Linked DNA regions of Saccharomyces cerevisiae S288C. The protein of the gene in region 1 interacts with the protein of each later gene in a biochemical or structural test. Each region holds a gene or a part of one and is shown in the gene's direction. Other genes may lie near its edges.

What was found.
Region 2: the proteins of PSY2 (region 1) and PPH3 form a complex in vitro, tested with the Saccharomyces cerevisiae proteins (2 studies listed by BioGRID).

The regions. Positions count from the first base shown.
Region 1 is NC_001146.8:260,077-265,369, reverse strand, and holds PSY2 (Psy2p), read left to right. Parts: upstream 1-2,166; coding exon 2,167-4,743; downstream 4,744-5,293. Other genes in the region: GCR2 (Gcr2p), read left to right, coding at 1-444; NNR1 (NADHX epimerase), read left to right, coding at 917-1,657; SPS19 (2,4-dienoyl-CoA reductase (NADPH)), read right to left, coding at 4,914-5,293.
Region 2 is NC_001136.10:595,338-598,909, forward strand, and holds PPH3 (phosphoprotein phosphatase PP4 catalytic subunit PPH3), read left to right. Parts: upstream 1-1,818; coding exon 1,819-2,745; downstream 2,746-3,572. Other genes in the region: trehalose-phosphatase TPS2, read left to right, coding at 1-1,246; putative DNA-dependent ATPase RAD55, read left to right, coding at 3,131-3,572. UniProt on the Saccharomyces cerevisiae protein: Forms the histone H2A phosphatase complex in association with the regulatory subunits PSY2 and PSY4, which dephosphorylates H2AS128ph (gamma-H2A) that has been displaced from sites of DNA lesions in the double-stranded DNA break repair process.

The DNA.
Region 1 (5,293 bases):
ACCATGGGCTATAATACAATGTCCAATAATGGATCCCATTCGTGGAAACGAAGGTCACTGGGATCGTTAGATGTTAATACGCTGGATGACGAAGCGGTGGAAGAACTTTTGCAACTGACAAATACGAGTAAGAGGCAGAGGCCGATGACAACTGCAGCAGAGGGTGCGTTAATAAATGATGGTCCGGACACTAATTTAAACGCGAATAACACCCAAATGAAAGTTGATTTAAATCCTTCAAACAGCATGGGACCTATAGATACAGAAGCCGTGATACGCCCATTGAAAGAAGCTTATGACGCAATCATTTCTGAAAAAGGCCAAAGAATTGTGCAATTAGAAAGAGAATTGGAATTACAGCGCCAAGAGACGCAGTGGTTAAGGAAAATGTTAATTGAAGACATGGGTTGTGTTAGAAGTATGTTAAGGGATTTACAAAGATGACACGATAATAATGTTTAACATATATTGCTTTCTCTTTTAATTTTCTGGTGTAGATTGGCGGTATAATTAACTATTTAACAGTGACGTTTACTATCTTACTGTTTCTTGTACTCTTTTATAATGAACAGACGTTATTATATAACTACGAACTAATGATAATTCTTTTTACGTTATTCCTGATGTAAAGGATACAAAATGGGTTTCTTTATTTTGCAGCAGAACCGTAAAATTTACGCTACTTTTACCGTGGGTCCTCTTATTTGATTGTTTCCGTCGCTACGAGCGAACAAGGGGTGGAGACAATAGGGATGGTGAATATATACACATACGTTCATATATAAGAAAAAAACTCAAGAAGAATATCAAACGACCAGGATCCTTGCTTATATTATTGTCTGTTGCTGGGCCAACACATATTTTCATTTCAACACACCAATCTCAGGTATTAAAGAGAAATCATTGTAAGGTAAAAATGTCTACGTTGAAAGTTGTTTCATCAAAGCTTGCAGCTGAAATCGACAAAGAATTGATGGGTCCTCAAATCGGATTCACTCTACAACAGCTAATGGAGTTAGCTGGGTTTAGTGTCGCGCAGGCTGTATGTCGCCAGTTTCCACTGAGAGGCAAGACAGAAACGGAAAAGGGCAAACATGTATTTGTTATTGCTGGGCCAGGTAACAATGGCGGGGATGGTCTCGTGTGCGCAAGACATTTGAAGCTTTTTGGTTACAACCCTGTTGTTTTCTACCCCAAGAGAAGCGAGCGCACTGAATTCTACAAACAGCTGGTTCACCAATTGAATTTTTTCAAAGTTCCTGTCCTGTCTCAAGATGAGGGAAACTGGCTGGAATATTTGAAGCCGGAAAAGACCTTATGCATTGTAGATGCAATATTTGGTTTTAGTTTCAAGCCTCCCATGAGAGAGCCATTCAAGGGCATTGTCGAAGAACTGTGCAAAGTGCAAAACATTATCCCGATTGTTTCGGTGGACGTCCCCACAGGTTGGGACGTTGACAAAGGTCCGATCTCTCAGCCCTCAATTAATCCTGCTGTTCTTGTATCTCTGACTGTCCCCAAGCCATGCAGCTCTCACATAAGGGAGAATCAAACAACTCATTACGTGGGGGGAAGATTCATTCCTCGAGATTTCGCCAATAAATTCGGCTTTGAGCCATTTGGATATGAATCCACAGACCAAATATTGAAACTCTGATAGCCCAAATCTATAATGCCACTACCATACATAATTTTTATATAATCCCTTATTTTGTGAACAAATAGCCATCATGATTCTCTTTTAAGATGATAAAACCGTCGTTTCTTTTTCTGACGCGCCATCTTTTCTTTTTCTATCTGTCTTTTTTTTTTTTCCTTTGGTGTTTCATCCGAAGAAGAAACAAAAGAAAGAAGACCAATACTTTCTAAAGGGCAATTGCAAGGTAGATATAACTAGAATTGCACAATAGAGATTGCTTGCATCAGTGGCATAGTTAACAATATTTTCTCGGCCTCCTTTGACGTAAAATCTAAAAGACCTAGTGCTTTCAAAACCCGCGCATACTGAAAAAAAAAAAAATAAAGAAGAGTGTACTGAACTGGTACTATAATTCATCGAAACTCATTTATTCCATATTAAACCGGTAGAAAACAGTATTTTTTTTGGTCTGTGTTTGAAACAGAAATTCTAACTGAAAAGTTTAGGATTTACGTATAGTAAGAGTAATGTCATTACCGGGTACACCTACTACATCTCCGACCCCGATGGATGAGGATACTGAACAAGCCGTTTCGGTTAATACTGAACCCAAAAGAGTAAAGGTTTACATTTTAGAGAACAACGAATGGAAAGACACAGGTACAGGGTTTTGTATAGGGGAGGTGGACGAAGGTAAGTTCGCATATCTTGTTGTCTCAGATGAAGACTCCCCAACTGAAACTTTACTAAAATCCAAACTAGAAGGAAATATTGAATATCAACGGCAGGAGGAAACGCTTATTGTTTGGAAGGATTTAGGGGGGAAAGATATAGCCTTGAGTTTTGAAGAAAGTATGGGATGTGACACCTTATGTGAATTCATTGTTCACGTCCAAAGGAACATAGAGTCAAATATTTCTTTAGTCACCGTAAAATCCAGCGACAACGGACTCGGGTCTGTTCACGACATTATAACGGGCCCTGTGACCTTGCCCTCCAACGACCAGCAACAGAATAGTCAAACTTTACTAGAAGCTCTAAAGATTTTGAATGAAAATACTTCTTTCGATTTTTTGAAAAACGAAACCATTGAGTTTATCCTCCAGTCAAATTACATTGATACACTGATTTCTCATTTCCACAAAGCAGAAGAAGAAAAGATACCGAAGGATTTATTTTTGCTAAGTAACATCATCAAAACTTTGATACTTTACAATAAAAGAGACATATTGGAGTCAATGGTGGAGGACGATAGGATTATGGGAATAGTTGGGATTTTAGAATACGATACTGAATACCCTACATCAAAGGCAAATCATAGGAAATATTTAGGATCAAAAGGTCCCAATTTCAAAGAGGTTATTCCATTGGAAAATGAGGACTTAAAAATAATAATGAAAAAATGTTTTCGCTTACAGTTCTTAAAAGACGTGGTATTAGTACGATTTTTAGACGATCATAATTTCAACTTAATCTCGGAAATTGTCATGGACCTGGAAACGTGTATAATCGACTTTCTTCAAGTAGGGACGTTTTTGGACAGACTAATAGAGCTTTATGATACCAAAACCCTTCCAGAAAGCTCTTCAGAGAAGGAGAAGTTTGTACAAAAACGAAAAGACGGGATTAGATTGTTGCAACAGTGTGTTCAAATGTCAATCAATTTAGATGCGGTTGACCGTTCTAAGTTCTATAAAACACTTGTTCGAAAGGGTCTATTCAAAGTTTTAGATTATGCATTTCACATGGAGACGGATAGTAATGTTAGGATTTTAGCTACGGATACTATCATTACTATAATCGAACACGATATCTTGTTAATTCACAACGTTCAGAATGAAGATTCTTTCAAACGGCAACATAAATCAGCGCCCGATGACAAGTCTTCCCATCGGAAATATCCGCAGGATTACAGCTCCAGTACTGATTCCAAGTTGTTATTGATACTTTCAACCATTCTTCTGTCCGACAGGAGTCCCGGATTGCGAGAACAAGTTGTGCAAGCGCTAAATACTTTGCTTCACCCTGAAGGATGTGTGGGTAATGGAGAAGGTTCATATGATCTTATGGGCAGATCAAATTATGAAGCTAAGAACACATCTGAAGATTTCCCAAGTTTCAGTTATGGTTTAAACTCGGATTCAATCAATTTAAATAACTATCACTATAGCAGCGATGAAATGAATAATCTAGAGCCAGAATCTGAATCTGAATTTCAAGTAATGGAATATTTTGCAAATTTCTATAATAAAATCGCACCCATACTGTTTGGTCCATTAATCAAGAAGGATATCACAACGGAAATGGCAGAAATAGATGGGCAAATAGAAAAGGTTACAAAAGACGATCTTTTGTTAATTCATTTAGTGAAATTGGTATCATTTGTTTGCACTGAGCATGATCGTGTCTTATCCAGAAGATTCATATTAGAAAACGGTATACTAGATTCTGTTAGCAAACTTATCGGCGGTAATCATATGATGCAGCTAAGGTTAACAGCAGTAAGATGCATTAAAAACCTTATGTGTCTCGATGATAAATACTATCATCGATATATGATTTCAAAAAATTTATATGCGCCGGTTTTTAAACTCTTCCAGGAGAACATAGATAAGAATAATCTTGCAAATTCATGCATTCAAGATTTTTTCCGCATTATTATAACAGAATGTAGAGCTTATCAAAGTGATGGCCATAACAGAAAGGAAAAAACCAATGGTTCTTATGATGGCAACGGTAATGACGTCAAAACGAACGTGAACAACAATAGGACAAACTTTACCATTTTAAACAAATACTTAGTTCAAACATATGGTGATGTCTTGAGAAAAGCTACTGATATCCCTTTCATCCAGGATATGCTAGAAACCGGGGAAGAAAACCAACCCGATCATTCTAGCTTTGAAAATAGCATTGAAGGGGGGAATGACATTTCTGTAAATATGTCAACAGATGGATTTGCTTCGAATCATTTAGAAGATATTGACATTAAAAACGTCAAAAGATTACATTCTGAGATTGAACACTTTGAAAATGACCCCCATTATTCTGGTGATCAGTTAGCATTTAAAAAAAGCGTTGACCAAATGAATGCAAGTACTTGAGTTTTTCCTTGTTGGAAAGAAGAATAAAAAGCTAGCACAACGGTCATGGTTGTAAGAAGTTTAACAACGATAGTGCACTCATTGTATATAAAATTCATCAATATACAATTAACTATCAAAAAGCATACGAGAAAGTGTCATATAATAATAGTACTCAATACCTATACGTATTATAATTTAGATGTCATACTCTTTATTAAGGCTTCTGGATACAACTCATGTCCAAAATAGGTCCCTAAATGCCACATACCACCGTCAACAACTAAGACGGTACCGGTGACATACGATGCGGCGGGTGAAAAAATATAAACAGTAGATTCGGCTATATCCCGTGTAGATCCAAGCCTTTGTAATGGTATCTTTGCCAAGGCCTTTTCCTTATATTTTTTGCCGGCTAATCTCTTCAAGCCTTCCGTATTATCGATAGCACCTGGAGCAATGCAATTCGAACGTATACCCAGAGGCCCCAACTCAACCGCTAAATTCTTTGCCAATGCGTCTATTCCCGCTTTAGCAGCGCCCACATGTCCTTGAAACGGCACACCATAAT
Region 2 (3,572 bases), on another chromosome or scaffold:
TAACGTATTGAAAGATGCCATTGTGGTTAACCCATGGGATTCGGTGGCCGTGGCTAAATCTATTAACATGGCTTTGAAATTGGACAAGGAAGAAAAGTCCAATTTAGAATCAAAATTATGGAAAGAAGTTCCTACAATTCAAGATTGGACTAATAAGTTTTTGAGTTCATTAAAGGAACAGGCGTCATCTAATGATGATATGGAAAGGAAAATGACTCCAGCACTTAATAGACCTGTTCTTTTAGAAAATTACAAGCAGGCTAAGCGTAGATTGTTCCTTTTTGATTACGATGGTACTTTGACCCCAATTGTCAAAGACCCAGCTGCAGCTATTCCATCGGCAAGACTTTATACAATTCTACAAAAATTATGTGCTGATCCTCATAATCAAATCTGGATTATTTCTGGTCGTGACCAGAAGTTTTTGAACAAGTGGTTAGGCGGTAAACTTCCTCAACTGGGTCTAAGTGCGGAGCATGGATGTTTCATGAAAGATGTTTCTTGCCAAGATTGGGTCAATTTGACCGAAAAAGTTGATATGTCTTGGCAAGTACGCGTCAATGAAGTGATGGAAGAATTTACCACAAGGACCCCAGGTTCATTCATCGAAAGAAAGAAAGTCGCTCTAACTTGGCATTATAGACGTACCGTTCCAGAATTGGGTGAATTCCACGCCAAAGAACTGAAAGAAAAATTGTTATCATTTACTGATGACTTTGATTTAGAGGTCATGGATGGTAAAGCAAACATTGAAGTTCGTCCAAGATTCGTCAACAAAGGTGAAATAGTCAAGAGACTAGTCTGGCATCAACATGGCAAACCACAGGACATGTTGAAGGGAATCAGTGAAAAACTACCTAAGGATGAAATGCCTGATTTTGTATTATGTTTGGGTGATGACTTCACTGACGAAGACATGTTTAGACAGTTGAATACCATTGAAACTTGTTGGAAAGAAAAATATCCTGACCAAAAAAATCAATGGGGCAACTACGGATTCTATCCTGTCACTGTGGGATCTGCATCCAAGAAAACTGTCGCAAAGGCTCATTTAACCGATCCTCAGCAAGTCCTGGAGACTTTAGGTTTACTTGTTGGTGATGTCTCTCTCTTCCAAAGTGCTGGTACGGTCGACCTGGATTCCAGAGGTCATGTCAAGAATAGTGAGAGCAGTTTGAAATCAAAGCTAGCATCTAAAGCTTATGTTATGAAAAGATCGGCTTCTTACACCGGCGCAAAGGTTTGAAACACCCTTTTTAACGAAATGGTTATGACTAGACAGACATCTTACGTCTTACTCCTTCATGCTTTATTTTTTTCTTTGTATTGTATTTGAACAGTCAATATGTGGTGTTGCGACGAAGGCATATATATAATAGTCTCAACCCACCATTTTCGAAGATTTACATACACATTATATTTTTATAAACTTCCAATATGTAATAACTTTATATGATATGTAACTTCTCACTATTATCCTTACTATTAAACGGTTTTTAATAAATATCATTGTTCTTTGTTTTATTAATGAGAAAAAGAAATTTAATACAATGTCCGGCGGGAAGAAAAAAAATCGATGAATTAATTGAAAAAAAGTATCTTTATCATGTGAACTGAGGAGAAGAACGGCATCTCGAAAAGAGCACGTCGAAACAGCGGTAGGTAAAAGAGGGTACTACCAGAGGTCTTTTCTCTTTATACGTTAACCTCTCAGCTTTTTCTTTTGCAATTCAGGACACTTTAACTTGTAGTCACACGCTAGTCCACGTAGCAAAGTAAAACAGCACGAAAAAAGTGATTACAAATTTCAAGGGAGATATGATGGACTTAGATAAGATTATAGCATCACTGAGAGACGGAAAACATATTCCTGAAGAAACCGTTTTTAGGCTATGTTTAAATTCACAGGAACTATTAATGAATGAAGGCAATGTAACACAAGTCGATACACCGGTTACAATATGCGGTGATATACATGGCCAATTACACGATCTACTAACGCTCTTCGAAAAGAGTGGTGGTGTAGAGAAAACAAGGTATATTTTCTTGGGCGATTTTGTGGATAGGGGATTTTACTCATTGGAGAGTTTTTTACTTTTACTATGTTACAAATTAAGATATCCTGATAGGATTACTTTAATTAGAGGCAATCACGAAACCCGGCAAATTACTAAAGTATACGGATTTTACGATGAAGTAGTAAGAAAATATGGTAATAGTAACGTATGGAGGTACTGCTGTGAAGTTTTTGATTATTTATCATTGGGGGCAATAATAAACAATAGCATATTCTGTGTTCATGGTGGATTATCTCCGGATATGACCACGGTTGATGAAATACGAACAATAGACAGGAAACAAGAAGTTCCACATGAAGGTGCTATGTGTGACTTATTATGGAGCGACCCCGAAGACGTTGACACATGGTCATTATCACCAAGAGGTGCTGGATTTCTTTTCGGTAAAAGAGAAGTTGATCAATTCTTAGAGAAAAACAACGTTGAGTTAATTGCTAGAGCTCATCAGTTAGTGATGGAAGGTTACAAAGAAATGTTCGACGGTGGATTAGTGACAGTCTGGTCGGCACCGAATTACTGTTATCGTTGTGGTAATGTAGCAGCTGTATTGAAGATAGACGACGATTTGAATCGTGAATATACAATTTTTGAAGCTGTTCAGGCACAAAATGAAGTCGGAAATGCTATAATTCCAACCAAAAAATCTCAAATGGACTATTTCTTATAAATTTTTAACAGGCACTCTAATTGTCAAGTGCATTTTTCTTTTTTTCTTCATAATGCAATAAAGGAAAAAAAATTGTAATATTACATACTTCTTTTCACATCTTAGCTAATTAACAATATGGCTTTTGAATACTAATATATACCCAGCTACCGTTTCTTCTTTTATTTTTTATTCCTTTTTTTCTTCAGTAGAATATGTTATAGATGCGGAGGTCCCCTAAGTTCTTCACGTGTTCTCTTCTCATCGCGTTTGATATGAAAAATAGAAAAAAATACATAGTAGCATGACTAACTAATAATAAGCTCCGCTATCAAAGATGTCAAGTACATTAAGGAAAGCTTTTAGATAAGGAAAAGAACTTATTAATAATATATAATATGAAAATATGTCGCTTGGTATACCACTTTCCCAATTAATAGTAGAAAGTCCAAAGCCATTAAGTAGCGGCATCACAGGATTAGATGAGATATTAAACCTGGGATTCCAGGCAAGGTCGATCTACGAAATATTTGGGCCTCCGGGCATTGGCAAGACTAATTTTGGCATTCAATTGGTGTGTAATTCGTTAGAAGGCATACAACAATCGGAAATAAACGACGATAAAATTCTATGGATAGAAACATTTCAAGAAATGCCCATAAACATACTAAGAGAACGCTTTCAAAAATTTAAAATCGTGGAAGAAAATGTGAAGCGGGTCCGAATAACGAAATTTGGACAGCTATTATATTTCTTCCAGAATTTGTTCAAATTATCTCAAAGTGTGCGATATAAACTAGTTATAATTGATGGATTTTCTCAATTAGTCTGCGATCATCTGTGTACAC